Mus musculus: one gene and its partners. The protein of the gene in region 5 purifies or fractionates together with the protein of the main gene of each other region. This does not show direct contact. Links are inferred from orthologs where the notes say so. Each region holds a gene or a part of one and is shown on either strand. Other genes may lie near its edges. The genes, in order: Stx18, Srpr, Rnf185, Tmem259 and Srprb.

Region 1 (5,520 bases), on a different chromosome or scaffold from region 5:
TCAGGGCACACAGCCCATGTAAACAGAAATCTGGAAAAAGAGCATCCCTCCAGTCCAACAATAGACTACACTGTCCAAGTAAGCTGTACTTGGGCCACCAACACGTCTTCTGAATACCTTAGAAAGTCATCTTCAGCAACTGTGGTGGTGAGACATGTTAATACCATAGCTTCATGCTAGAGTTATGAATTTAAGCAGGGTCTACGGAGTTATTCACTCTTGACCTTGTTTTGTAATGGGCTCAGTATTTGAAGAAGCTACAACCTTCAACAAATAGCTTCCATTCTTAGATCTCCCTTGAGACAGAGAATGCCCCTAAAAGTTTCTGCTCATACAAACACTGTCCCAGAAAAGTGAAGGGTTTGACTAAATGGCCTGGACCCTGCAAACCTCAGAGCCAGGTCAGCTGGAAAGCACAAACAGCACCTGACATTCACTGGACATATGAAAGGCACCTCTGCACCAGCAGACAAGGGTCTCAGCCTAGTCCTGATTCTCATGATACACAAGCTGTTTTTCTGGAGAGAACATGGTTCTGATAGCTCAGATGTTTCATGAGAGTGCATGCCACCAAAGCATGAGATGGCCATTTCAGCTTCAATCACCCAAAATACCAGAGATTTAAGGAGATCAAGAGGAAAAGAGGTGGATTTAAAACTCACTGGGGATGGATGACGGAGCCACTTGTGCCAATGCTACATCCAATATTGTTGCACATAGCTTTTACTCTGTAAAATCAATGAGCCAGGAGTGAGCAGCCATGCCCCTTTGGATGTCTCCTTCACTCAGGTACCAATGGCTGAGAATGGACTTTGTAGCAGGCTCTGATCAATGCATTGACAAAAAAGAGTGGTCTCCACCTCCAAAAAATTTATATTCTTGCAGGAAAAAAAGTGGGGAGGTGGGATTATCAAGGGTAGTTATCCCTCTCTAGCTAGAGGCAACATGGAACAGGTACCATTGTCAGCTCAGAATGACAAATGCCATCAGGGTAGATGAAAACAGGTACCTCTAATAACAGTGCTATCACTTACAGACAATATAGTCACTGTAGAGAAGTGCAGAGTGGTCTGCTGGGAATACTTCTGGCTTAATGAGCAAAGTACTTTCAGCAATGTGAAATAAGAGCCCTTTGGTATGATAGAAAGATCTCTACTCTGTGAGAACAAAAGCTACCACATAATATCATCTGCACTCTTAAGACATTACAGTGGGCAATCAAGCTGTACCTCGACAGGTATGTTTTCCTTCACCATACAAATGAGACTACAGAATATGAGCAGCTAGACTCCTTAATCAACTTCTTAACGACAGTCATTAGCAACCCAAACAGAACAGTAGTGAGAACCACCTCGTGACAATGGCGAACACTCTGCTCATTGGCCTCCTCAAAGGACTGGGATGGTGCCATGAGCTGAAACACAACGGTGGCTGAGCCCCGCTGCCGTGTGTGTGTGTGTGTGTGTGTGTGTGTGTGTGTGTGTGTGTGTATGTGTGTGTGTTGTACCTGACTGTAAACAACAAAATGGGAGCCTACTAAGAAGGGAGGCACAATACTCCTGGCAGCAGCTGGAACACTACAGGGGACAGGTGACATTTGAGTTGGGGCTAGAAGGATGACAGAATTGTGTTCACAGGAAGGAAAAGCAAAGCCCCTTTAGAACAAAGTCGCACAAGGCTTGCAGAGCAGAGGAGCTGGGGGCTGATTCAGAAACAAAAGCTATGATAGAAACACTATAGCCTTCAATCTGCCATATTTCACCTTTATGAGACCTGGGCACAAGGGGGCATAAAATTACAACTACATGTATGTTTTAAGCAGATGTCTTGTGTCTAAAGATGAGAAAAGAACAAGAAAGAAGTCAGAGTGGTGAGAAATGCCAGTACCCACATCTGGGAGGCTGAGGTGGTATGACCTGAGTTCAGGGCCTACCTGAGAAGTACAGAGACTGCCTCAAAAAGCTAAAGAGCAGAGGGCTGCTCCCCCAAGGTCTTCTGCTTAGGGTAATGCTGTACATTTCTCATCTGACTGACATCAGTGTGGACTTCAGAGGAAACTTCTCCTTAAAAGCAAGACTAAGGCCGAATGAGCCTCAGCCTCCTTTTGTCTCTACCTGCAACAGCTCGGCAGACATGCCTCTCCTCCCTGGGGACTGTGACAGCCAGTGACTGGTCACCTTACCATACTGACAGATGACAGACATACATCACCAGAGTCAGGCCTGCTCCCCTGGGTCCTGCCTTGGCAAACTGGCCGCCAACCATGCCAAAAAGGGTTTTGGAGTAGAGGGAGGGGTGGGTTCAATACACACAGAATCCTGAATACATTCTGTCATACTGTCATACAGGGGAGCACTGGTCACTGTGAAAACCCTTTTTTTGGAAAAACTTTCAAAGATGGAGTTATGGGGGCAGAGACCAAGGTCAAACAGCGCCAAGTGTCCCACTTCATAGGGATATTAAGGAACAGGGTGGGAAGCTGGGTAGATGGCACACACCTGTAACCCCTGCACTCTGAATGTGGAAGCACAGAAACAATGGGTTCAATGGCAGTTTAAAGCCAGTGTGGACTATAGAACCAGATTGTCTCCTTACTACTCCCAACAAAAAAAGAAAGAGGAATTGGTGAAGGCTCAATACCGGTTCAGCTGCCATGAGACTATGGGGCTTGCTAACCCGCTGAACCTCAGCATCCTCAGAAAATGAAAGAGAGGACCTGCTCATGGGCTGCTGTGGGCTAACAGAGTTGACTAGCACCACCTAGTAGACAGTGTATGCTCAGCTCACTCGTGCTCCTCAGTGTATGGCAGCACGGGTGAGAACGGCACAGAGCAGCCAATAGGGCTGGAGCTTTACGAGCTCTGGTTGCCATTGCTGAGGAAGAGCAAAGGCAGCAATACTCACAGTCTTTTCTTGTCCACCACGCGCTTCACTCGGATGGCTCTTTGTTCAGAGTAAAGCTTACACACTCCTGTCGAAGCAGAAAAAAAAAAAAAAAAAAAAAAAAAGAAGAACAGAGACCATTTAAAATGGCTTCGTAGGCAAAGGTATCATTAAAACTAATGAGACACTATGGTCTTCAGCTAGCAAAGCTCCATTCTAAATTGCATCTCTTATGAAATACCACATTTGACCTTTAGAAGAAAATGAAATACTTTTTAAGTAATCGTCAACGAAATCCAAAACGGCAGTCCTGTGTTCCTTCACTTGCTGGGAATGTATCTCCTTGTGGGCTGTAAGAGAAAAGGACAGCACTCAGGTCTGTGCTCAAGGACCCGACAGAACAGTCAGCTTCCCCAGAGCGCTTCAGTGAAAGCATGTTCAAAAGCACAGCTATAAAACAGCCTCATGTCAAGTGAGACTACATTTTTAAGAGTAAGATTTATTGGGTTCACCAGGTGAGAGATTAAACCCATAGAAACTGCAGTCAAATAATTTATAGCTTATTACAGCCCCGGGGGAGCAGAGCTGATCCAGCGCCTTCCGGAATGCTGACCTGGCTGTATTAACAGCATCCAATGCCCAGGCTCACCTTCAAGTGACATGCTTAAATCACACGTGCTAGAAACCCAGACGCCTTCCGCCTGAGTTGCTTTTCAGCTTACAGTGGCTGCTTTCTCCCCGTAGACACTGAGTGGCACTATCCATACTATGCTGCTCTCTGAGAACCTTTCCCATTGATGAGCTACAAGGACGCGCTACCACCCAGAAGGCTGTGGCAGCTCCTATAGTAAGATACCGCTGTTGGTGGAGGGGCTGGGTGCCCCGGGTGCGGGCATGATGATAGGACATCACAGAGCTACCTCAGGTGACCACTGGGGTTCAGAGGCAGTATGTAGTCTAAAGTCACATAAATGCCTAACTAATGTCCTTAAGAGTATGGGGTACAGGTTATGTTTTTACCAGAGGACTATAACCTGGGACTACTCACATAATGATCTAGGGGCTTTGCAATGCTGGACACAGAAAACTGAATTTTGTATGTTGCATATTTTTCTGACAAGCAGACTTCCCTGGTGGCTGATAGTGTTCTTTCAGAAGTTTCTCCAGCAGAAGTCTCTGCCATGGGCCCAACAGCACCTGTCAACTTTGACCTCTGTAGTATTAATGTATATGCTTATGAATCAAGGAAGACATAAGACTGGAAACCCATCTAGCTCCTCAACAAGGATGAAACCCAATGAAGGGGGGTGGGGTGGGAATAATACCAGGTTCCTAGTGTCAGGCACAGTTCTAAGCACACTGTAAGAATTTGAGTGAACCTTAAGAGATATGCCTAATTATCATCTGTACTGTTTTGTTGTAAAAGTTGAGCCCAGGGAGATGAAATGATTTGCCCGAGGTCACAGAGCTAGCATGTGGCAGAGCTCCAGTGCATAGCTTTTAAGTAATAGCTGCGGAGCCTTCTCTTAACCGTGATGTCTTGTATGGAAGCTGACTTTAACAGGACAGGTAGATCTCAGGGAATACCGTTCCACCCTTAGCCACATGCATCCATCCTGCCACTCAGAACATAGCCATACATGCATGTCTTCATAGACACAATCTGGTCCCTCTGACCTTGGGCTTTGGTAGGTTATGGATTCTATTTAGAAAAGTCCTTCCCATTCCTGCCTTCCATTTTTTAAAACTTGAGTGATGATCTTTTTTGGGCTTTGATCACCTTATCTCAGAAGGATTATAAAATTTTAAGTCTTAAATGTCATTCGGAAAGAAAGAAGGAATGCTACGTGGCTGCACAATGAGTTGTTGAACTGGTTGGCACAGTCATGGGATCTGTTGGCATCTTTTAGAGCACTTCACCTTCTGTTCTGAGTTGATGGATTGCTTCTGAACAGGTCCTTATGAATATCTGAGCATCCTGGTCTATCTGGTCTCGCTCTGTGTCTGTCATCCTCCCATAGTCAGACATGGTGTGGCTAAAAAAGAGGAAGAAAGCATGAGAGTGGTGTCAGTGAGAACATACTGCAGCCTGGGTAACTGTCAAGAAGAAAGGTTTCCCTGAACAAGTGACATTAATGCTAAGGCTTGGAGAGGAGTGGCCAGACCAACAGGTGTGAGAATGGTTTGGAGAGTGGAGCAGAAGGCCATGAGGTACAGTCTTCGACATCACTTCCACAGAAGCAGGAGCAGTGCACAGCTTTGCTAGGAACAGAGGCTCTGACTGAGGAGTACATCACTCCATTGCAGGGCAAGCCACTCACCCTACATGATCTTGAAACATGAGAAACTTGTGTGCGCTGTTTTTTGTTTGTTTGTTTGTTTGTTTTTAACACAGGAAAGCAGTTTTCAAACTTCACAATAAAAAGCCTGCAGAAACAAACTCTATGTCCCCGATGTTAAGTTAAACCTCCTGCAGTGCCCAGGCTGGGAAGGGCATCCCTTTTCAGTAACACAGCACTATGTAGTACAGTACAGAGCACCTGGCTCCCCTGCAAGAGAGCGGGAGGGAGTGTAGCGTAATCAGTGGCAGTGACACCCCTCAGCCTAGTTCAACACTCTGTACGTTACAGCTGAACT
Region 2 (5,321 bases), about 68 Mb from region 5:
GTCAGCACTGTTACCCTGTCTCTGGTGACTGTTACCCAGCTGTGCTGGGGCCAGGGGACTCTCCTCTCATGTTCCTTCCTATGTCATCCTTTGCAGTAAATCTACAAAGTCAGATACTCCAAAGGAGAAGGGCAAAAAAGCACCCCGGGTGTGGGAACTAGGTGGCTGTGCTAACAAGGAAGTCTTGGATTACAGTACTCCCACCACCAATGGAACTCCAGAGGCAGCCCTTTCTGAAGATATCAACTTGGTAAGATGCATAAAGGTCAGAGTGAAGATCACCATTGGCCAGAAATTGGGAAGGAAACATCTGGAGGGTATATCTGGATTTGAGAGAGGAATGAACTATATGTGGGTTTTTCTAAGGTCTCAAATAATGTTGCCAGGGTATATCCTGGGCTCTTCCCCTCAGCTGTTAGTGTTCTTGATCACACCTCTTTTCTTTGCCTGTGTTCTCTAGATTCGAGGAACTGGGCCTGGGGGACAGCTTCAAGATCTGGATTGCAGCAGCTCAGATGATGAAGGGGCCACTCAAAATACCAAGCCTAGGTAGAAGGATTTCAGGTGGGAGGTGGTGTGGATGCAGAATTGATGACCCATACCTCCTGCCTGCTGGCCTAACGCATACTTGTGATCTTCTGTAATTGTAGTGCTACCAAGGGAACTCTGGGTGGCATGTTTGGGATGCTGAAGGGTCTGGTGGGTTCCAAGAGCTTGAGTCGAGAAGACATGGAATCTGTGCTAGACAAGATGCGTGATCATCTCATTGGTGAGTCTGGAGGACTGGCTTGACTGACGGACTATGACATAGTTCATTAGGAATAGAACCATTTTCTAAGCTGTGCTCTTGAGACCCGATCATTGTTAGCTCGGAACTCACAGCTGTCCTTCTCTTCTCAGCTAAGAATGTGGCTGCTGACATTGCTGTCCAGCTCTGTGAATCTGTTGCCAACAAATTAGAAGGGAAAGTGATGGGGACATTTAGCAGTAAGTATCTCCACAAGTCACAAAGTGCTCGTGCGTCTCAGAGGTGATGCAGTCAGACAGCTTTGGTATGTGCCTTTTGGCACACATGTTTGAGTTCCCAAACTTCTATGATAGAACAGCCTTTAGGACCTAACAGGACAGTTAATTGAGATAATAAAGTAATAGAACAGTGTGATCTGAATTCTGAGGGAAAACCTACTATGGTCTTAACTCCATTAGTTCAGAAAGATGTTGGGTATCAAGTATATTTGACTTTATGATTGAATCCATCCATCCCCCTTTTAAGCTGTGACTTCAACAGTCAAGCAAGCTCTCCAGGAATCTCTAGTACAGATCCTACAGCCACAGCGTCGTGTAGACATGCTCCGGGATATCATGGATGCCCAACGTCGCCAGCGCCCTTATGTTGTTACCTTCTGTGGTGTTAATGGAGTAGGGAAGTCTACCAATCTTGCCAAGGTCAGCTCAGTTCCACAGCCTGCTTTTCCACCCTGTGCTTTCGAATCCTGGGTCTAGGTGACAGTTTTCTTTAACTTTTTTGCAGATTTCCTTTTGGCTTTTAGAGAATGGCTTTAGTGTCCTCATTGCTGCCTGTGATACATTTCGGGCTGGGGCTGTTGAGCAGCTTCGTACACACACCCGGCGCCTGACTGCCCTCCATCCCCCCGAGAAGCATGGTGGCCGTACGATGGTGCAGTTGTTTGAAAAAGGCTATGGCAAGGACGCTGCTGGCATTGCCATGGAAGCCATTGCCTTTGGTACAGTGTGGGGACCAAGGGGGCTTGTGTCCTTGTCCTGGGAATTTGCACAGACTAAGGCTATTACTAGAGAAGTCAGGGTAAATTACTTGTGTGGGTGGTTTTGGGTAGTAATGTGTGTAAAGGAAAGCTGGTGTATCCTAACTGTAAACCTGAATGTGGTCTTTTTCCTACTTCTTTCCTTTCCCTGAATGGTTTTGGTGGTGGCCAAGAATAGGACAGGTTTTTCCTTACGTTACCTTGTAACCAAATCCAGAGTCTGGGCAAGTAAACAGGATAGGCTTTTCAAATAACCCACACTTGGACATCTTAGGAAGCTGGCAGTGAGCATGGGTGACAGTTGGGTGACTTTTCACATAGCAGTGTAGGAAGTCTTGAGAAGTTGGTAGTGTGAGTGAGTTACTTGCTTGGAGTTGACTGCTTTTCTCTTTCTAGCACGTAACCAAGGCTTTGATGTGGTGCTGGTAGACACTGCTGGCCGCATGCAAGACAATGCCCCTCTGATGACTGCCCTGGCCAAACTCATTACTGTCAATACACCTGACTTGGTGCTGTTTGTAGGGGAGGCCTTAGTAGGCAACGAAGCTGTGGATCAACTGGTGAGAGGGTTTGGGCCCAGTTCCCTTTAGAACTTAAACTTTGGCAAATTAGATGGGTTCTTATGTTACCTTTTCACTTTCTAGGTCAAGTTCAACAGAGCCTTGGCTGACCATTCTATGGCTCAGACACCTCGGCTCATTGATGGCATTGTTCTTACCAAATTTGACACCATTGATGACAAGGTAAAAGTGGATGACTGGATAATGAGACTGGGAAGGAGGAATGGCTGACTTTAAAGGAAATGGAGGCGTTGAGTGAAAACAGGGCTTGAGTTGATTGATTGGCCATCCATTTTCTCTTCTTCAGGTGGGAGCTGCTATCTCTATGACATACATCACAAGCAAACCCATCGTCTTTGTGGGTACTGGCCAGACCTACTGTGACCTACGCAGTCTTAATGCCAAGGCTGTGGTGGCTGCCCTCATGAAGGCTTAATGTGGCTCTTGCCTAATACCAAATCGCCGCTTGCCCCAAGTCCCTATTCCTATATCAAGAATGTGCTTTAGAGTATGTGAGCAACTTGTCTTCAGTGTAGTACAAAGGCAGAGTGAGGGGAGCTTTGGAGACTTGCAGCTCCTTCTAACCCAATCCTTTGTTCAGCCCTACCTCCTTCTGCAAGGAGGGCCTAATCATGTTACAATCACTGCCCAATGACCCTCCCTCTTCCTACTCAGGCATCCCCTTCACTCTGCCTACAGACTCCATATCATAGCTTTGACCAATGGTTGAAAAACCCAACACCTGGAGTGTTGCTAACTAGTGTGATCACAGAGCCATGGTGAGATAAGGAGCAGTTTGAGGTCCCAGCTCTAATGGCTTAATTCCAGAGCCAGCTCTGGATCTTAATGGCATCTATCTAGAAGAATACAGCTTCTGGGTCCCTGGTGTCAGGATGACAGCCACCTCACTGTGGCAGTGATGGTGGCCCATTCTTAATTGCTGCTAATTATAAATCTGGTGATGAACTCTACACCCGATTGTTGCCCCAAAGCATCAGTTAGGCCTTGTTACAAATGAGTGAAAGGCGAGTGCCCACTTCTCTCAGAAACACGGGGAGCAGAGTTGCCTTCCAACCTGTGCCTGCTCCCAAAATCTAGATGGAAGCTTTGCATGTTTCCTTCCTGGGAGAAAGGGATTGTTGAGAAGGATTCCTGTTGTCCCGTACCCACCCCACCCTCAGCCTCCTGGGCAGGTCCTGGCTTTTCCTCATTCTCTTCTACAGTGCCTGGTAGACAAGTGCTACGTTGAAGAACACAAACCTCTTGTTAAGACTTGTCCTGTAGTTTGGTATTACAGATGTGCTACTAGTGCAATAAGGTGAAGGCTGTCTGCCCAGAGAAATACATAATTTATATAAGAAAATAAATTTCATAAAGAAATTGCCTCTTAGGTTCATATTATTTTATACAGGATATAAAATAAGAATGCTAACTCATACTAACTATATAGTTCTTGAGCTTCTTTTTGGCAAGGGCATGATAGGAACTAGTAGTGCTCTAAGGAATTGGGTAAGTGCCTGTCCTGAGAAGGATCACCACCCTATGATGAAAATAGAAGAATGCCAGTTTTTAACAGTAACTCTTCAAAGTAGAGCCAGAGTTCTGGCAAGTAAATGAACAAGCTTTTAATACAGCTCAGTTATGTAAAATACTGTACACTGTAAAAGATCTAGAAAACTAGAGCTTCAAGTCATGTTTTAAAAAAGCCATAAGCTCAATTGAAAAACCAAGTGGAGTACAAAACTGCAACAAGAGCCCACTGACTCCATGACTTCTTGCTCCTCAAGTCCTGCAGAGCTGCAGCCATAGCCAGGAGTCATCACATTGGTCTGCTGTGTAGATAAGCCTGTCCAGTCTTGGGGTAGGTAGGAGCTGCATTGGGTCCTGATGTCATTGGGTGTTAAACTGGACCAGGCAGCAGAGTATCAAGAAACAGCCAGCATGAAGGGAAGGTGCAACACTGCCACCCCTATTCTACCCCAGGCTTCAACTTCTGGGTATTGGTACTTCCTGGGAGCTCTGTTGAGTTCTTGCAAGTTTGCTTGTTAACACATCCACAGGAAGGCCCCACAGCATGGTCTAGTGGTGATTTCTCCAGCTTGCTCAAGTACTACAGCCTATGGAGAAACAAAAGACAATAAAGTTCCATAGAGCAAGTCTACATATCTGAAGCTGCAGGTGTTTAAATCACTCAGTCCTAACTTTTCAGAAAGAGCAGATTCAAAGAATCTCAAGACAGGTAGGAGAGACAAATTATAATTCCCTATAATATGACTGACAGAATAGGAAATAATATACCTCTTATTTCACCATGTGCTGCAGATGAACCATTTAGCTGACCTTCTCTTGCCATCCCTGCTAAAAAGAGAATATTGGTATAGACATTAGATGAAGCTGAAACTTTTTCAAAAAATGTCACTACACAGGACAACTTTTGAGTGTTTGTTTTCTCCACTATGTGGATTGCAGAAATAGAATTCAGGTCGTCAAACTTGGCAGCAAATGCCTTTACCCATAACTATCTTGGCAGTCCCTGGGAAAGCTAAAACTATTAATGGCAGAAATGAAAACTAAGGGGAGCTCAGGGCACAGCTAAAGAGACACTTAGGACTGACACAAGGTGAGGTTAAGAATAACCTTCAGACAGTCATATCAAACAGGGACATTAGACTCCTTATTGCACTAAAGTTGCTTTTTGTTTGGATGGATCTCACTATGTTGCCATGTTAGGTTATAGTTCCAAACCCTCTAAAGCTCTAGCCTTCCTGGAAGTTGGATGTCTAGCAAGACTGCTTGTTAAAACAAAAAAAAAACCCTTGTTTCAACTTTTTAGAGTAATTTTTTATGTATATGGCTATGCTTGCATATGTTTCTGCACCATGTGCATGGCTGGTACCCGAGGGAGGCCAGAAGAAGGTGTCAGAATTCCTGGAACTGGAGTTATAGACAGTTGTGAACCACCATATGGATGTTGGGA
Region 3 (6,021 bases), on a different chromosome or scaffold from region 5:
CACACACACACGAAACAAAGCAAAGCAAAACACAACAAAACATAAAAATAACCCTGAGCAGGAGCACAGTAATCCCAGTACGGAAGGCTGGGGCAGGAGAGAAAGTTTAAAGCCACCCTGGACACTACAGAGAAAGGCCCTGTGTTAAGGATTTAAAAAAAAAAAAAAAAAAAAAAGAGGTTTTATACCAAATAAGTTTGGTAACACCAAGCAAGCAAAACATTATGCCAGCTTACTATAAAGCCTGAATTTTTATTGTGAGAACTCTAACTTGCATTACAACACTAAGAAAGGGTAATGGTGCCGGGCGTGGTGGCACACGCCTTTAATTCCAGCACTCGGGAGGCAGAGGCAGGTGATTTCTGAGTTCGAGGCCAGCCTGGTCTACAGAGTGAGTTCCAGGACAGTCAGGGCTACACAGAGAAACCCTGTCTTGGAAAACAACAACAACAACAAAAAGAAAGGGTAACGGCCAGTAGCTTTTCCTAAACTTATTTTTACCATCAAATTTATTTTTCACAGGCCAGCAGAACACATTTACATCAATCAAGTATCCCTTTAAAAGAAACCCCCAAATTAGTAAGTTTTTAAAAATCCAACAAATTAAGAGCATTTTCCTTACCACCGAGATGACAATAGAGTCTAAGGCCAAACCATCTCGAATGTTAGGTAACAACTGAATGACCATTTCACAACTGTTTTTTTTTTTTAATCTTGAGAAACATAAACAACAGGAAAACAGGCAGGAACTTTTGGTTCAACCCCAACCTTTTGTTTTGTGGAGGAAGTGTCAGCAGAATTGGGTCATAATATGGAATCTTTGCTTCTCCAGACAACATAAGCATTCTTAAGTACTCTAATGGGAGATGGAAAAGTTATCTACTTAGTGTCTGGTAAAGTGCAAAATAAGGAAATCTAAAGTTAGATTACAAAGCTATAGGTATGCAAGTCAGGACCATAAAAGAATTGGTCATATGTGCTGGGCATCCAGAAAGCTAGCTTAAAAACTGCAGACACTCTCACACCTATACACACACTGCTAGACAAAGAATTAAAGTTCAGTTTATAAACCAGAGAGAAGACTGACCCAAACAACTGAATTGGCCTTCCATTCTGTAATCAGAGCCCACTGGCAAGCAAAGCCTTGGGCAAAACAAGCAATCCCAGCATTTGGGAGGCTAAGGCAGGGGGACCAGTTTGAAGTCACCCTGGGCTACATAATAATACTCTGGAAAAGGAAGAGAGGGATGGAGGCAGAGAGGAAGAGAGCAGAGATAGACAGAGAAAAAGACAGAGAGACACAGATAAGACAGACAGAGACTGACTTTCTAAATTGTTCTCAGCCTGAGCTGAATGTCAGAGTGAGACCCCGACTTAAAATAAATTTTAAAAACTTAAATGTAAAACAAAAATTACTAACTGACCAATGTATTAATTTTAGTTAATTAATTTTTATTTCCTGTTTATTAATACAACATATACTTTGGATAATTTTTATCAGATAATGGATCATTCCAAAAAGGATGATGAAAAGAAGGATGACAAATGTGACAACCAGTAAAAGATTACATAAGATCAAGTGTGCTGGCCTTATTGATAGGAGATATAAACTAGGGAGGAGAGTCCAGAAGGGAAGACAAAGAAATGTCACATTCTGTAGGCATAATGGTACTAAGTAACGAGTGATCCTGGCACTCTTTAAGACTGAAACAGCAGGATCCGGGTTCAAGGCCAACTACAAAAGGAGCTTGAGGACAGCCTGAGATCCCTGAGACCCTGTCTCAGACCACAAAAGAAGTATCACATACACTCTGAAGACAGAGTTATCAGTGGAGAGGTAAGAGTCACAATAAATACTAATACGAGCCTTTTAAATTGGAAAGGGCCGCCTCCTGTATACTTCCTTTCCCAAGGAGACAGTCAATCCCCATCAGTCGTCACCTCTGATAATTCTTCCGTTAAATTCTTAATAGTAAGTACACATGTGTCTTCCCCCTAGAACCTACCTATTAATCGTAGCTGTACCTCTTTCAGCTACAAAGATCAAGCAGGAGGCCTCTTTGCCATAACTCCCCCACCCAACCCCCACCCCCACCCCGCGCCAGCTTTTAAAGATAGTTAGTTATTCTCCTCCGGCGTTCTTTCCTAAGCTAGAAGTTTCATAGAATCGAGCCGGCTCCAGCTGCCTCGAATCGAGTACCGCATTCACAGCGGGACCGCACTTCGGATGAGCAGGCTTCAAACACGAGTAGGACTCCAGAGGAGAACGTTCAAAATAAGGTTTCCTAGGATCCAGACCCAGATTCGAAACAAGCTGTGGGAAAAGCCCAGGGCTGGAGAGCCGGCATCCCGGAGGGTTTCGGAGCAGGTGCTGTGGAGGCCCACGCTTTTGAGACAGCTGTGCCCGGTTGTACAGCTGTGGGAACTAGGTTCAGGGAGGTCAAAGACTTGGCCTCGAACGCACAGTGAGCTGCAGGCAGCGAACTCAAGTCCAGGTCTCCTACGCTTCACCCCAAATCTGTTCACCGCATTCCTCATCTTTCCACTCCACCAAATCGCCACCCACGAGAGAGGCGGTCCCGCCCCCGAGGCTACGGGAGTCAGGACGAGCCCCGTCTGGAAGGGGAGCTTGTGCGCACCCTTCTTTCCCTTTTCTGGGGCCTTAGTTTGCCCAATCTGTACCCACGGATGCCAGTCTGACCTTCCTTCTGGGACCTGGACAGAGCCAGACTGGATGACTCCTGGCCCTTGGCTTCAGATCCCTGAGCCTGGGAAGGGGGTCCCATGCCTCCCGGGCCCGCCGTCCCAGCTCGTCACCTACCTGCCGCCGCGGTAGAGCGAGCGCCAGCGACGCCAGCTGTCCGTTCCCCCGTCCCGGAGTAGCCGAGCCAGTCTTAGAGACGCGTCAGTCAGAAAGATTGAACCTCCGACCCCTCCTACCGGGAACTTGGTCACCTGACGCGGAGCCGCCTCTAGTAGAACAACTTCCGGTTCCAGCCGGAAAAGGCTGGTGTGCAGCGCTGCTCTCCGGCCCAGGCGCCCGGCTGGTAAGTTCCGCCCCGGGACAGGAAGGGGAGGGCGTCTGGTCTTTCCGTAGGGTTTCCTAGCGCTGGAAGAGGAGGGAAGGCAGCTCGGTGGATGGGCGAGCTCGCCTCGCCCGCGTGAAGACGTGGGAATAAATATGTGCGTACCCGCCAGCTAATCATAGCATTCATTCGGGTGATGGGTCAGAACTTCAATGTCGTTTTCGAAGCAGGCTTGGGATACATGGGACCGTGTCGCAAAAATAATGGGCGGATGAAAAAGCCAGTTCTAGAAATACCAGTTTGGAATGCCTTGTACAAGAAAGTAAGGTCAGTGGTTGTTCTGTTTTATAAAGAAGAAGAACAGGAGGAGGAGGCATGGGAAGTGGAGTAGGAAAGGGAGTAGAGAATGAGGAGAAGGGAGAGAGGCCGGCCAGGAACGCGTGAAGAGAGAGGGCGGAGGGGGAAGGGGGCAAAGAGTAAGGGAGAGGAGGGGGCGAACAGCCCCTTTTATAGTAAGCCGGGCATACCTCGCTGTTGCCAGGTAACTGTGGGGCGGAGCCTAGAAGGAATGCTAACAGTGGTGATGGATGAGAATGTGCAAAACGACCCAGGAGCTCTCTTGAAGACTCTACTAGCCAAATCTGTGAAATTTCAGTATCAAAATAATAAAGGTAATAAGAGTATAACTAATTGGAGCCCATGAGATGGTTCAGAGGTAAAGATGTTTGCTGCCAAGCCTGTCAACTCTAGTTCAGTCCCCAGAAACCCAGCGGTGGAAGGAAAGGAGTCTGGCAAGTTGTCATCAGACCTTCACATGTATACAGAGACACTTAATAAATACATGGTAATTTATTTTAAAACTAATTAGATGAACTTGTAACCAATGAGGGATTGTTTTTTTTTTACAGTAGCAAGTGCATTTATTATATTTAAAAATAACTAGAAAAATTGGTGTTTTAGCTTTCCATATATAAAAACATGTGAGTCCAGTGCAACAGTGCTCAGTGCAGGTGAGTGATTTTGCTGTGCAGCTCCTACAAAGCTGCATAGCTGTGCTGTTGCAGGGGTGGGGGGAGTGGGGGGTGGAGAGCCGGCACACCTCATTCTGTAGAACAAGAAGGGACTTCCGTCCTGCCTCGGACAAGCAGTAGCAGTAGCATTCCTGTGTGTAAGCTGAGGTAGGGCTGGCACACCGGCCTTGTATCCTGTACTGGATGGCTTTCAGCTTCTGCTTGCCAGTGTGAAAGCCCAAACGCCAGATGGCAGGTGAGCCTGCATCCTCTCCCCAGAGTCCTTGACCTTATCAATCTCTAGCTCCACCTGTGGGGGACCTGAGGGATCGGTCAGAATACTCCTCCTCCTTCTGTTCCTGGAAAAAGTAAGATTCTTTGGGGGGTTCTTAGTATCATTAATACAAGAATTTAGAAGAGACTCAAAGGAAGCTCAGGACAACTTTATTAGAGTTTGAAAAAAGCAATCAAGGCTAGTTGAAAACTCTAACAGCTGCCAGAAGATGGAGAAAAGGTCACACCTTTTAAACTAGGCATGGAATAAAATTAGACAACTTATCAAGAAATGGAAAAGGACAGGTGGTATTGGCGGTGCACACCTTTGATCCCAGCACTTGGGAGGCAGAGGCAGGCAGATCTTTGTGAGTTCCAGGACAGCCTGATCTTCAAAGCAAGTTCAGGACAGCCAGGGCTACACAGAGAAACCCAGCTCAAAAAAACAAAAACAAAAAACAGAGAGTAGGAGGAAGGGAGGGAGAGAGAGGGAGAGAAGAGAGGAAGGAAGGGAGGGAGGTGAAAACGGGCTGGAGAGATGGTTCAGCTGTGAAGACGGGGAACCAGAGGACCCAGGTTTGATTCCAAGGAACCACACACATAGTGATTCACAACCTTACCTAACTCCAGTTTCATGGGATCTGATACCCTTTTCTGGCCTCCCTGGGTGCTGCATGAACATGTGAGTATATATGCTTCTAGACAAAACATTCATACATATAAAAAAACAAAACTACCCAAGAATGGAAGTGGGCTAGTAAGCTGAGCAAAGTCCCTAAAAAGTATCCACCATACTGGTGCATGGTCTCTTACAGCCCTTTCTCTACAAACTGACTTCCTGTCCATGTTAATCTTGATGTATCTTTTGTTGTTGCTATTGTTGTTATCTCCTGTTACATTGGATCCCAGTACAGTTTACCAGGCTGAGTCAGGACAAGACCTGAGTCCCTACCTTGTCCCTGGGGAGCTGTGCTAGCCAAAGGCAAAGCACAGTGGACTGGCTTGCTGGAGGTCCTGGGGACTCCTCAGTACCCTCTGGGGACTTCTGGCCATTCTAATCACCGAGGGACCAAAGGCAGTTAGAGTCCTGAAGCCCCTTCAGATGACTTGGGGTCGTGCTTACACTGCCAGCAGTTCCAGCTGCTAGGACCTATATCCTGATTTCCACCCGCTGACAACACAAGCTTCAGTATGTGAGTCTCTAAGTACTGTGGCCTGGCCCTCAAAAGTCCTGTCTCTGAGGGTGTAGCAAGGAGGAAGCCTTTTGCTCTGTTCTGGAATTTTTTTTTTTTTAATTTATTATATGTAAGTACACTGTAGCTGTTCTCAGATACTCCAGAAGAGGGAGTCAGGTTTCGTTACAGATGGTTGTGAGCCACCATGTGGTTGCTGGGATTTGAACTCGGGACCGTTGAGCTATCTGGCCCCTGTTCTGGAATCCTATTCTGAGCCTATTCCTGATCTGTGCTTTCTGAAATGACGTCATCACGCGAGCAGACAGCGCGGCTCCAGCTTCACATCTGTACAGTGGTTTATTTTCTCCAGCTGTCCATCCAGTCTGGAGGTCCCTTTCCCTGGAACGCGGGCTCACGAAGGCTGCTCAGTCTTCTCAGATGCATGTGGAAGTCTCTCATCCCAGATGCCACCCTAACATCACCACATAGCACCGCCGGCTTCTCCACCAAAAATCTTGTGTTTGAAGGTCACTTTTC
Region 4 (6,051 bases), on a different chromosome or scaffold from region 5:
GACAGCTGCAAACTGTTCTGACTTCTACACACATGTGGGATACATGCCCCACACATATATGAATACACACATAACAAAATAAGTATGTTTGTTTGTTTTCAAGACAGTGTCTGTGTAGACAAGTCTGGCCTTGAACTTGTTCTGTAGACCAGGCTGGCTTTGAACTCAGAGATTCCCCCTCCCTCTGACTCTGGAATTGAAGGCATGCATCAACTATTAATATTACTTATTAATCTCAAACGCCCCTATGCTGGAGCAGAGTTACTCAAGGGGTCCCAGCCTCTGGGAACACCCTTCTCTTTTCCTGCTCAGTGTGTGGGTGGCTATGTGTCTGTGTGTAGGGGGGTCGCCTAATTCAGTGGTACCTGTGGGTCGCAACCCCTTCAGGGGTTGCCTAAGACCACTGGAAAACACAGATGTTTACATTACAATTAATAATAGCAAAATTAGTTATGAAGTAGGAATAGAAACTATGGTTGGGGGTCACCATGACATGAAGAACTGTATTAATGGGTTGCAGTATCAGGAAGGGTGAGAACCGCTCGCTGCCCTAACCCATGCTGAGTGGAAGCAGGGATGTCGTGCAACACTTGCAGACAGCACATGCGCACCATGAGCACTGGGCTGAAAGAGACCCAGTACTCCATGTAGCTGTCTAGGGTCACCCTCCTCTGTGGCCCCAACTGACACCCTAGCTTCCCACCATGTCTCTGCTGGCCAGCATAGGACCCTGGCCCAATAAGGTGCCCAACATAGAGTAGGGTGATGGGACTCATGAGGTCCTTACATCCCGGCACACCCACTGTGTGCACTCACATCCCTGCACCCTTCAGGGACGAGACTGGATTCCCAGACCACAGTCCTAAGGGACTCAGCCACAGCAAGCACAGTAGGGCCCTCCCCACCTGCTGTTAGGCAGCAGTGTAAGGGACAGAAGCAGGCAAAAAGGCCCTGCTCCATATCCTGATGTGCCTGTAGCCAGGCCTCTCCTCTGCAATCTAGTGACAGAGCTGGACCCACAAAGCACTCAGCCCATCTAGCAGTGACCTGAGGGAATACAGAGCATGTGTGGAAGGCCCAGGGACTGAGACCAAGGCTACAGTCTCCAGCGAGCCACACCTGAAGCTGCACCCACCCTGTCAACTGTGAGGTTCACCCTGGGCAAGAAATCATTTCTGTATCAGGTGAACTGAAGGCCAAGCAGCCCAGGCTGAGACCGCAGCAGTCACTCCTCCCAGTCCAATCCAAGAGCCAGGAACTGTATCCCAGGTCCTGTTCCACCTACTGGGCATCTAGAGTCAACATAAGATAGCCACTGGACAGGGGTTATAGCCTGGGTCCTCTCTTCCCACCATGGCCACTGTGGCCAGCCCACGAGTCCTCACTGGTCACTGACTCGTGCCAGTCACCCCACTCAGGCCCTTGGGCACTCCTCCCTCATGTGCCCACTTGATGCCACATACACAGGCACTGAACTTGGTTATACCGGCCTGGTGGGGCTGCACACCATCACCTCCTACAGACACCTCAATGCCAAGACCTAGGGTTCTTGGGAAACCTCCTACCCTGTAAGCGGGGGTGGGATGGAGTATTGCATTGTCACCCCAGTCTTGTGTCTGGGCTGTCAGTTCATCTGACCAATGGGAAGCCTGCACTGGGGTCAGAATACCAGCCTCACTCATATGCTTGCTTCTCTCTTGTCCTCTTGGGCTCTTCCTTTCCCCCTCTCTCCCCATGCTCACGGCTGTGGCCGGCCTCGACTTCTCTACTCTCTATCTCTACTACACTCTTTTTTTTTTTTTTTTTTTTTTTTTTTTTGAGACAGGGTTTCTCTGTGTAGCCCTGGCTGTCCTGGAACTCACTTTGTAGACCAGGCTGTCCTCGAACTCAGAAATCCGCCTGCCTCTGCCTCCCGAGTGCTGGGATTAAAGGCGTGCGCCACCACCGCCTGGCTCTCTATTACACTCTTAACTCCCTTCCCTGAGCCATGAATAAACTCTATTCTACACTATAAAGACAAAACCAAATACCAGCCTCAGCCAGGATCTCCACGAGATCATGACCCACCCAAGGGTGCCACTTAGCACCTTTCAGGGCTCAAATCCACTTGGTGCAGGGACTTGAGCTGGTGCCACATACCTCCTTGCCCTCTGACCCCTGCCACATCCTAAGGTCTAAGGCACCATGCTGTGCCCCCCTATCCCATGGCTGCCCAGTTTCGGTCCTTGAGGCTCTGAAGCCAGCAGAGGAGATACCAAGCCCAACAGTTCTTCTCTGGGCCTCTGTAGGAGCTGACACCTAGGCTGGGGTGGGAACAGGGCGCAGGGTGGTACAAGCCTAGCAGGCCTTGGCTGTGAGGCGTCCCTTCTAGGAAGGTTGGGTGGAAGCTGGGCAGGCAGGACGGGCAGGAAACACAGCAAATGGGCTCCCAGAAACGTCAGCAGCTCCAGAAACCAGCTGCTGTGTGGCTTGTTTATCCCAGTTAAGAAAGAGGATAAGGTCTACTGTCATCCAGCCGACCCTGTCTCTGACTAGACATTGGGCACCCACCCGGAGCCCTGAGGGTGTGGAGGGCAGGAAGGAAGATGGAGCATGGGCTCATCTGCAGCCAATGAACTGGGGCCTGAGGGGATGCCCACAGCTGTCTTGAGCTCAAGCTAGATCTACCTATGAAACCCCCGAACGCTCAGTTCTGAGAAGCACCAGGAGTGAGTCCCAAACTCACCAATGCCCTCCAATATCAGCATGCCAGCCACCAAGCCATGACCCCAACACCAGAAGGCCCAGGCAGCTCCTCAGAGAGAGCCTGGTGCCATCCCTCGAGTAGCCTTTGTGACCGAGAACCGGGATCTCCCGGGAGCACATGAAGAAGACACAGCCAGGGCAGGTGCTGGCTGTAGAGGTCCCTGGCCAATCTGGCTGTGACTCTGTGGCTGACCCTAGTGAGATGACCTCACCCAAAGCCACAGAAAACCTGGCAAGAGTCTGAAAACAGTGAAGTAACAGAAAATTTGAGCAGTGACACTGGGGGGTAGGGGGCTGTCCCCAGGGGGTTGGTTCAGGGTGTGCTGGAATGGGACTGACTAGTAGAGACTGGACTGAGAGAATCAGGGTAGAATAGAAATGACAGGCGGGACAGGGCCTCCAGCACAGGAGGTGGTCTACAGTGGAAAGTCAGGAATGGAATGGAAATGACCATATTGTTCTCAGTGGAGGTGCAGGACAGGATGGGAGTGACAGGTGGGAAGGTGGACCTCGAGTCCAAAATCCTACTCCAAGAGGACACTGGGCTCTGGTCTTGAGTGGAAAAATTTGGGGCCTAGGCTCCCAAGTGGCAGACTGAGGCCAAAGGGCAGGAGGCGGGGCCTGAGAGCTGAGGAAGTGAGGACCAGAGATAGCATCTGTAAGAGTGGTATCAGGGTATCCAGGCGTCAGGAGCCAAGTGGTAAAGTTGCCGGGGGTGGGCGAGCGGATGACAGCTGGGGTCAGGGGTCAGAGGTCAGGGGTCAGAGGTCACCTTGAGCAGAACGAAGAATTCAAAGAGGCGGCGGAAAGCAGGTGGGAAGAGGCGTGAGTAGGTGACGGCCATCTTGAAGAAGAGAGCGTGGAAGAGCCGGTCGCGCACGTTGATGAGCGGGTTGGGGTTGAGATTGGGGCCGCGAGGGCCGCGCACGGGCGCCGCGCCACCACCCCCGCCGCCGTTGGGCCCGGGCCCTGGGGCTGCCGCGTGCTCCGACATCACCGCCCCGCGTCACCCCGGCGGCCGCCGGCTGACCCCCGCCGCGTCCCGGCCGCCGGATCCCCCCCGCCGCCCCCGGCCGCCGCCGCCGCCTGCCCCTTTGCTCGCGTCCGTCCGGCCCGCGACGCCGGCGAGAGCGCCGGGCCAGAGCGCCGCCCGTGCGCGGGGCACGCTGGGATCGCCGCGGCCGCCCGAGGAGGCCGGGCTTCAGGGCCGAAAGGCGGGCACCACGAGTAGTGGGCGGAGCCTGACTTTACACATTTCATGCGGGTCGCCTCAGCGCTAAAGGGCAGAGTACCATGGAGTTCAGTTTATTTTCCTAGTGCTCCTTCAAGCTTTGTCCGGTCTCGTTTGCAGTGAGCTTGCAATTTGCAGGGGCTACACGGAGTGCATTAAAGAGCAGCCCCGTTTGTTTGCATATATTCACTCCCACATACTGTGGCACGGCCTGGGGTGGAGTCGTGTGTCACGATTCATTTGCATTGAGCTTTATCTTTATATATGTGAGTACACTGTCGCTGTCTTCAGTCTCACCAGAAGAGGGCATCAGATACACCAGAAAGGAGTTGTGAGCCACCATAACGGAGGCTGGAACTTCAACTCAAGATCTCTGGAAGAGGCGTCAGTGCTCTTAGCCATGTCTTTAGCCCAGAGCTCTATCTTAAGCATTGAGCGGCAGTGTCGGGTGTAATTCGTTTGGTTTGTGGAGGGATCCAGGTTAGCGGTGGGCGATCTGTGGGGCGTGGTCTCAGAAACAAGCTAAAACATTTGCATCCACCTGCGGGCGGGGCGACGTTGCCCGTCGTATTTGTATATGGTTTCCTATTGGCGGAGAATTAGAGGGGGCGGAGACGCACTTAGTAAGGCCTATTTACATAGGGCTTCACTCTGGCCACAGCCTCACTTAGGGGCGGGGTCTGCTGAGGACTCATTACCCACCCTGCCCTGGGAGGCAGGGCTTCCTAACTGCTCATTAGCATAATGTTTTCATTGGCGGCCGCAGCGCTGAAGGGCGAAATTCCATGGATAGTTTACTAGCAGACAGTTTCACCATCGCACCAGTATCACGGATTCCGCGCTGATCCGGCTACCACTGAGGGGCGGAGCCTCGTAGTGCCTGTCTAATTTGCATATGACTTCCCAGAAGGCTTCGCTGGCACAAGCTTCTCCCAGACAGCTATATTAATTAGTTAAATGTGAGCTTTCACGCGGATAGATAATTATTCTGAGCGGTGTTATGAGTGGTAGCCTTTCTTTTTGACATGTGAAAACGTTACTTTATCCAAACAAAAACAAAAAAAAATCATAATTACTGTATGTGAAAAGTAATTTGCTTCTCTGCCTTTAAATACCTGAGGCAAAAAACCGTCGCTTGTGCTCGCTTCGGCAGCACATATACTAAAATTGGAACGATACAGAGAAGATTAGCATGGCCCCTGCGCAAGGATGACACGCAAATTCGTGAAGCGTTCCATATTTTGTTTCATCTCAAAATAACGCAATTGACCCTTTGAAGTCTCCTTTTCTACTATAGCTGCCACATTCCCGTACAATTTGCCTGAACAAGGGCATTTATTGACCGGTTACTGCGCACTCGAAGGAAGCTGTCTGTTTTTAGGACGCAGCAGAGCTGTCTCTGTATGCACCGTGCCCTAACGTTGTGCGCCTTCTATATACCTCCAGCTTGAAGGAAGGACTAGGAGCATCTGTATGATGGAACAAGATGAGAATTTCTGCATCCGGACTGGGCGGCCAGGAAAAGGGCGGGGCGCTTTACCGGCTGAGCGAAGGGAACCCCTCCCTCCTAGCTTTCAGATACCCCAGAGTCACCGTCTGCTGTTACCCAGAGCACCTTGCAACACAGTAGGCACCTAATAAATGTACCAGTCTTGAAACTATTATGGAATACACTTGTCACTTGTTTGAAAATAGGAAACGTCCCTGGGTGACCCGAGCTTTAGAAAAACCTAGCCTGACCTTCGTGGAGAAGCAATGGGGTTCCCTCCAGCACAGGCCAACACGTCAGTCAGTCATATCGCTCACGACCAGAGCAAGCAAGGCTTGACTGAGAGATGGGATTTTACTTTATTTACTTTTTGAGTTTGTGGTCTTTCCTTGGCTGTTCTGGAACTTGCTCTGTAGAGCAGCCTGGCCTTATATTCACAGTGATCCTCTTGCCTCTCTCTGCCTCCGGAGTGGTGATCTCAAGGGCATGGTCACCACACCCACAGCAGAAGCACTACCACCCAGATCCCAGGCACTGCAGAGATGGTCTGTCCCCCGGAAGGTGTGACCCTGGCAGGGAGAGTCAT
Region 5 (6,018 bases):
AAGAGTGAACCAGCAAGCAGCATTTCTGCATGGCTTCTGCTGCCAGGACCCTGCCCTGAATTCCCTTAACAATGAACTACATCCCGGGAGTGTAAACAGATTAAATCCTTTCCTCCCCAAGTTGCTTTGGGTCAGCAACACACATGACAGTAGAACTTAGTAAAGAAGAGTGTCAGATTCTAGAACATTCCAGATACCTCTTACCCTGTTATTGTTGACTTTGTATATGGCAGAACTATCGGTAATGGAAGTCTGTGTGTCTCTGTACTGGCCAGTTAGCAACTGTAAACAAAACAAAACCAAGACAGACAAATCAGGGTAAGCGAGTTACAATAACACTGAATGCAATGTAAAAAATGACATTTTCATTCTGTGGAGAGTAAGGTCAAATGAACGAATGCTACTTGAAACAGCTGAAAACGATCATACTGCTTTATTTTTAACTTGTAGAATAGTGATTAATTACAGCCGGGCAGTGATGGCACACGCCTTTAATCCCAGCACTCGGGAAGCAGAGGCAGGCGGATTTTTGAGTTCGAGGCCAGCCTGGTCTACAGAGTGAGTTCCAGGACAGCCAGGGCTACACAGAGAAACCCTGTCTCGAAAAACCAAATAATAATAATAATTAATTACAAGCTTTATTCCTTCTTTTTGCAGTGCCATCAGAAAGTGGCACCCTGGGCCCAACATTATTAGTATTATTTTTAAACAACAGCAAGGGGCCAAATTACTGACCTGTAAAGATTTTAGGCACCAAAACCAACTCAAGGCCTCAGGAGATGTTCAGTGGACATAACACTTCCTGTGTAACCTTGATGACCTAAGTTCAGCCCCTCTGAACCCACATAAACCCAGATCTAGTAGTACACACATTCACAAGCCCAGTACTCCTATGGGGAAAATGGGAGGGAGACAGGACAATCTCCAGAAATTCATACTAGCTTGCCTGGCACAGCAATGAGAGAAGACCAACACTTCTGGTCCTCTGACCTCCACAGATGTGCCAAGGCTCACACGTACCAGCCCTTACACACATGAATGAACACACACACACAATTAAAATAATAATAGCTATTACTACTACTACTACTACTATTATTATTATTTATACCCTCCAAAGGAAGAGGGTAAATTCTCCATAGTAAAACATGTTCAGTTAAAATACACTGGCTTACATAAAACTAAGTGTTAGTAAAGGGAGGCCTCTCTAGCTTAAGACTGTCGAAGGAGGGTAATTTTTGTCATGATTGTGATAATGCTGGATTGCTCAGAACTAGCCATGCTGGGACTATTTTAAGTCACAGAAATCAGCAAAAGTTATTGGGCTTCCTTTATCCTTTATTGATTGTTTAAAGAAAGAATAAGAACGCAAGCTACACTTAAGAATATATGTCTATCCAGGCAGTGGTGGCACAGGCCTTTAATCCCAGCACTTAGGAGGCAGAGGCAGGTGGATTTCTGAGTTCAAGACCAGCCTGGTCTACAGAGTGAGTTCCAGGACAGCCAGGGCTATACAGAGAAACCCTGTCTGGAAAAAAACAAAATCAAACAAACAAACAAAAAAATGTATGTCCATAACCATTATATTCTGAGTAGCCCAAGAAACTGGTAATGCATTTTTTAACAGGTGTATGTACACTGAAGGTTGGTTGATGTCGGGAGTCCTTAATCTTTCTCCACCTTATTTATTTACTGTTTTTGCTTTTTTTTTTTTTTTTTTTTCCCTGACATAGGGTTTCTCTGTGCAGCTCTGGCTGTCCTGGAACTCATTCTACAGACCAAGCTGGCCTCAAACTTGAAGAGATCCTCCTACTTCTGCCTCCCAAGTGTTGGCTTTAAAGGCATGGACCACCACCACACAGCCAGCCACCTTTTGTGAGGCTGTGGTCTCTCACTGAACCCGGGGAGAAAACCAACTAGCATGGGTGGTGGTGAGCCAAGGAATTCCAGGGATCCATACCTCCTAGGCCCTGGGATTGCTGACAAGAACTTCTGGACCTGGCTTTCACGTATGTGCCACCGATCCAAACTCAGACCCTCATTTTTTTGCCAGGCAAGAAAACAGACTGAGTCACCTCCCCATCCCCAGACCACGTATTCTAACAGCATCGTGTGTGTATGTGTGTGTGTGTGTGTGTGTGTGTGTGTTTTTACAGGTTTTCCTAGAGTCTTTTTTATATAACTCCCAGGGGGCTGGAGAGATAGCTCAGTGGTTAAGAGCACCGACTGCTCTTCCGAAGGTCCTGAGTTCAAATCCCAGCAACCACATGGTGGCTCACAACCATCTGTAATGAGATCTGACTCCCTCTTCTGGTGCATCTGAAGACAGCTACAGTGTACTTAGATATAATAATAAATAAATCTTAAAAAAAAAAAAAGAATTAACTCCCAGGGCTGGAGACTCAACTAAGTTGGATAAGATCCCATCCTGCTTCTAGCAAAGGGACCTGAATTCAATTCCCAGCACCCACATCAGGCAGCTTTGAAGACCGACTCTACAAAATCTGACACATCTGGCCTCTACAGGTACAGGCACTCATGTGCATATACCCACACACATACATATAATTAAAAAGAAAAAAAAATATTTTTAAAAACATGTCCTAAACTTGCTGTACCAAATAAACTGCAAGATGACAGGGCTACGGAAATGCCTTACCCATCCCTCTTAAGTCTAACCGAGGTGAAAATCAAAGCATTACCCTGACAAACAGCAACGTTTTCCCAGAGTCACAGAGACCAACGAAGAGAACAGCTCTCTGACTGCTCTTTCGGCTCCAGATGAACTTCCAGAACACTGCAGAGAAGAGAAAGGCAGCCTTCATTTTCTAAAGACATTATTAGTAGGCATTTACGACAAAAAAACAAAGCGTCCATCTGGACTACTTTCATTGTCACACGGATTAGAGTCAGTTTTGTTAGGAACTCACGGAGCGCCAGCCACTATCAACTGTAAACCTTTTCACGTCTATTTCCCTCATCCAAATGTGGAGACTAAAAGTATACACAGAATGATGGATCTGGGAAAAATTAGTGGCTTGCTACATTTGATTGGTGGATTTCTACTCTACCTTAGTACCCCAGTATCTCAGAGCCCAGTTCAGACACAAGTGGCTCAAAGTTGGAATGAACGATGGCGGCCGCAGCGCTCAAGCGCACAGGGCCGCCTCATGTAAGTCCTGTCCCAAGACCCAGGTCACTTCAGCGTCCCCTTTCCACACTGCTGGGTCTGGAAGACGAGTAGTAGAAGAGGGAACGCAGCCGTCCGCCTCCCTGGCCTGCGGCGCCGAGCCACCCTGCCCTCGCCGTGAATGCCGGCCGCCTCACCCAGCGTCAGCAGCACCGCCAGGAGAGCCACCGCCACGGAGAGCAGCGTCGGATCCCTCTGCTGCAGCTCCTGTCGTAAGGAGTCGAGGTAAGGCTGGAAGGCGCCACCGGCGCCATCGCCAACTCGCCGGGTGTTCGCCGAAGCCATGAAAGAGGTGTGTAGTCTTCCCGGGCCGCCAAAGTTACGTGGCTCTAGGCTCCACGCCGTGGTGGGGCGCGGGGCATCACGGGAGTTGTAGTCCCTTAGGGGTATCTCGGCTAAGTGCCTGATGGGAGTTGGAGTTTTTTGGTTTCTACAACCCAGTTAGCGAGTGTATTCATATCGGCATGCTTTGAGACATGTATAGCTTTGTGGAATTTTTTTTCTTTGCATTTTAATTTTTTATCTTTGGAGAATTTCATAAATGAATATGATGTCTTTTGGTCAAACCCACCCCTCTACTCCCATTTCATTTCGATTTTTGAAAGAATGATGACTTTTAGCAAAATTAACGGCTACAAAACTTCATTTGAGGGTGAGGATTTCTACTCGGCCGTTACATGGGATGAAATTTATGAGAGATTTTACCACAGTATGATGTGACCGAAGATGTGATGGAGTCACAGAGAATCCACAAAGACACATCAAGTCCTTTATGAGGTCAGAGAAAAGTAGCTAGAGATGGACCTGAATCTTGGAGGATGCATTAACCTATACCGGCAACTAAAGAAAACAGAAAAAGACGCACGGAAGAGAAGCTTGAGTAAAAGCCAATGACATGTGGGAAACTCGGGAATTCTGTGTCCTGCATTGACACGTCCAGCACGGAAAAAAATGACTGCATTTTAAAAAGCAATCAGGAAAATCAGTGCTCGGGAGGATGTGGAGGTGTCGACGATAGATTGATCATTCCCACCCAAAGGAAGCAGGCCTACTCAACCAGGTAGGCCATTTGAGAGGCCCAGAGTAGACAACATTTTTCAGTTTCTCAAGAGGACTTATTTATAAAAGATCTTCATGGGAACTCTTCTACTTAAGATTTCATCGGGTAATCGAAACATTTAAAAAAAAATGTGAGCTTCAATTTAAAAATATCTCTGCGAGTCAGAAGTGGCCAAGCCTCGAGGGCCATTTGCAGCCTCTGTCATTAAGTAGCTGTCATTATTTTAAAGTATTTAAGTACAGGTCTGCCTGGGAGATGACAGGAAAAGTCGATGTCACTTAAAGGCTAAACAAATTCATTAAAATGTCGCACTGCCACATAAAACCCCAACTCCTGCAGGTACCAGGAAGAGAGGAAATGAGACATTCCCTTCCTCTCTAGTGTGGCAGTGAGTGATTGGGTAGGAAATGAAACAAAGATGTTAAAGTTTGAGTTTGGAAGGTTCGCAATGTGATTTCGATTTCCATACATCCTCAAAAGGCAGAGGGCAGGTGAGAAGAAGCCCACTCGAGAGGGCCACTCCGTTGGCCTTACCATCGCCAGATACTGAGTCGCTGGCTACAGGCTATGTATAAGAATGATTAGATTGTCCATGGAAGCAAAAGTGGCAGAAAGGCAGCTGGAAAAGTTTGTAGGAATCAGACCTGGGAGTGGTTTTGTGTGCTATGCTGAAGAACTCAGAGTTTACTCATAGTATAACAATAAGCTGAAGGTGACATGGATAATTGGCAGATCTGTGGAGAACTGTGACTGGAGAGAGAAAAGACTGAGGCTGGGGGAATCAATGGGAGTCTCTTGTCGTATTTAGGCAAAAGATACTTGGAGTCTAACACAGGATAAAAGTGTGAAATCCGGGGCTAGAGAGATGGCTCAGTGGTTAAGAGCACTGGTTGCTCTTCCAGAGGTCCTGAGTTCAGTTCCCAGCAACCACATCAGGTGGCTCACAGCCATCTGTAATGGGATCTGATGCCCTCTTCTGGTGTGTCTGCAGACAGCTACAGTGTGCTCACATACATTAAATAAATAAATAAACAAACAAACACTGAAAGTGTGAAATACAGGGTAAAATTTCTGAGATATTTAGAAGTTAAAATATGTAGGTTGTAATGACTATAAAATATATAGTTGCTGTTGTTCTATTACTGTGAAAAGACACCATGACCAATACAGAAGAAAGCATTTAATTGGGAGCTTTTTTGTTTGTTTGTTTTTTTGAGACAGGGTTTCTCTGTGTAGCCCTGGCTGCCCTGGAACTCACTCCGTAGACCAGGCTGGCCTCGAACTCAGAAATCCACCTGCCTCTGCCTCCCGAGTGCTGGGATTAAAGGCATGCACCACCACCGCCTGGCAGAAGAAAGCATAGAAAGCATTTAATCGAGAGCTTCCTTATATTTCAGAGGCTGAGTTCATGAGTGTCGCAGTAGGGGATGTGGCAGCAGGCAGGCATGGCACTGACACAGTAGCTAAGAGCCTACATCCTGATTCAGAGGCAGAGAATAAGAAACTGGGCCTGGTGTGGGTGTTCAAAACTTCAAAGCTCACTCCAGTGACACACCTCCTCCAACAAGGCCACACCTCCTAATCCTTCCCAAACAGTTTCACCAACTGGGGACCAAGCGTTCAAATGTATGAAGCTATGGAGATGTTCTCATTCAAACCACAACACAGCCTAACCTACACAGTAAATTCCTTGGCTACATAGTGTGAGATTTTGTATCATCCTTTGTTTTGGTAAATCTCCATCCCAAATATACCCCGGCGATGAAAA

What was found.
Region 1: the proteins of Srprb (region 5) and Stx18 purify together in Homo sapiens (affinity purification with mass spectrometry; 3 studies listed by BioGRID and IntAct, counting the BioPlex papers as one, with this or other methods). This does not show direct contact. The link is inferred for Mus musculus from reciprocal best matches to the Homo sapiens genes SRPRB and STX18.
Region 2: the proteins of Srprb (region 5) and Srpr purify together in Homo sapiens (affinity purification with mass spectrometry; 6 studies listed by BioGRID and IntAct, counting the BioPlex papers as one, with this or other methods). This does not show direct contact. The link is inferred for Mus musculus from reciprocal best matches to the Homo sapiens genes SRPRB and SRPRA.
Region 3: the proteins of Srprb (region 5) and Rnf185 purify together in Homo sapiens (affinity purification with mass spectrometry; 3 studies listed by BioGRID and IntAct, with this or other methods). This does not show direct contact. The link is inferred for Mus musculus from reciprocal best matches to the Homo sapiens genes SRPRB and RNF185.
Region 4: the proteins of Srprb (region 5) and Tmem259 purify together in Homo sapiens (affinity purification with mass spectrometry; 3 studies listed by BioGRID and IntAct, counting the BioPlex papers as one, with this or other methods). This does not show direct contact. The link is inferred for Mus musculus from reciprocal best matches to the Homo sapiens genes SRPRB and TMEM259.

What each region holds. Positions count from the first base shown.
Region 1 is NC_000071.6:38,104,277-38,109,796, reverse strand, and holds part of Stx18 (syntaxin-18), read right to left. Parts: intron 4,920-5,520; coding exon 4,804-4,919; intron 3,234-4,803; coding exon 3,156-3,233; intron 2,972-3,155; coding exon 2,905-2,971; intron 1-2,904. UniProt on the Homo sapiens protein: Syntaxin that may be involved in targeting and fusion of Golgi-derived retrograde transport vesicles with the ER.
Region 2 is NC_000075.6:35,213,287-35,218,607, forward strand, and holds the end of Srpr (signal recognition particle receptor subunit alpha), read left to right. Parts: intron 1-96; coding exon 97-250; intron 251-460; coding exon 461-549; intron 550-650; coding exon 651-769; intron 770-900; coding exon 901-987; intron 988-1,273; coding exon 1,274-1,446; intron 1,447-1,531; coding exon 1,532-1,745; intron 1,746-2,180; coding exon 2,181-2,344; intron 2,345-2,428; coding exon 2,429-2,527; intron 2,528-2,651; coding exon 2,652-2,780; 3' UTR 2,781-3,717; downstream 3,718-5,321. Other genes in the region: protein FAM118B, read right to left, coding at 4,448-4,461, 4,643-4,702. UniProt on the Homo sapiens protein: Component of the signal recognition particle (SRP) complex receptor (SR). Ensures, in conjunction with the SRP complex, the correct targeting of the nascent secretory proteins to the endoplasmic reticulum membrane system.
Region 3 is NC_000077.6:3,449,388-3,455,408, forward strand, and holds the start of Rnf185 (E3 ubiquitin-protein ligase RNF185), read right to left. Parts: upstream 3,570-6,021; 5' UTR 2,822-3,569; intron 1-2,821. UniProt on the Homo sapiens protein: E3 ubiquitin-protein ligase that regulates selective mitochondrial autophagy by mediating 'Lys-63'-linked polyubiquitination of BNIP1.
Region 4 is NC_000076.6:79,980,393-79,986,443, forward strand, and holds the start of Tmem259 (membralin), read right to left. Parts: upstream 3,869-6,051; 5' UTR 3,740-3,868; coding exon 3,518-3,739; intron 1-3,517. UniProt on the Homo sapiens protein: May have a role in the ERAD pathway required for clearance of misfolded proteins in the endoplasmic reticulum (ER). Promotes survival of motor neurons, probably by protecting against ER stress.
Region 5 is NC_000075.6:103,198,585-103,204,602, forward strand, and holds the start of Srprb (signal recognition particle receptor subunit beta), read right to left. Parts: upstream 3,482-6,018; 5' UTR 3,476-3,481; coding exon 3,328-3,475; intron 2,798-3,327; coding exon 2,703-2,797; intron 283-2,702; coding exon 205-282; intron 1-204. UniProt on the Homo sapiens protein: Component of the signal recognition particle (SRP) complex receptor (SR). Ensures, in conjunction with the SRP complex, the correct targeting of the nascent secretory proteins to the endoplasmic reticulum membrane system.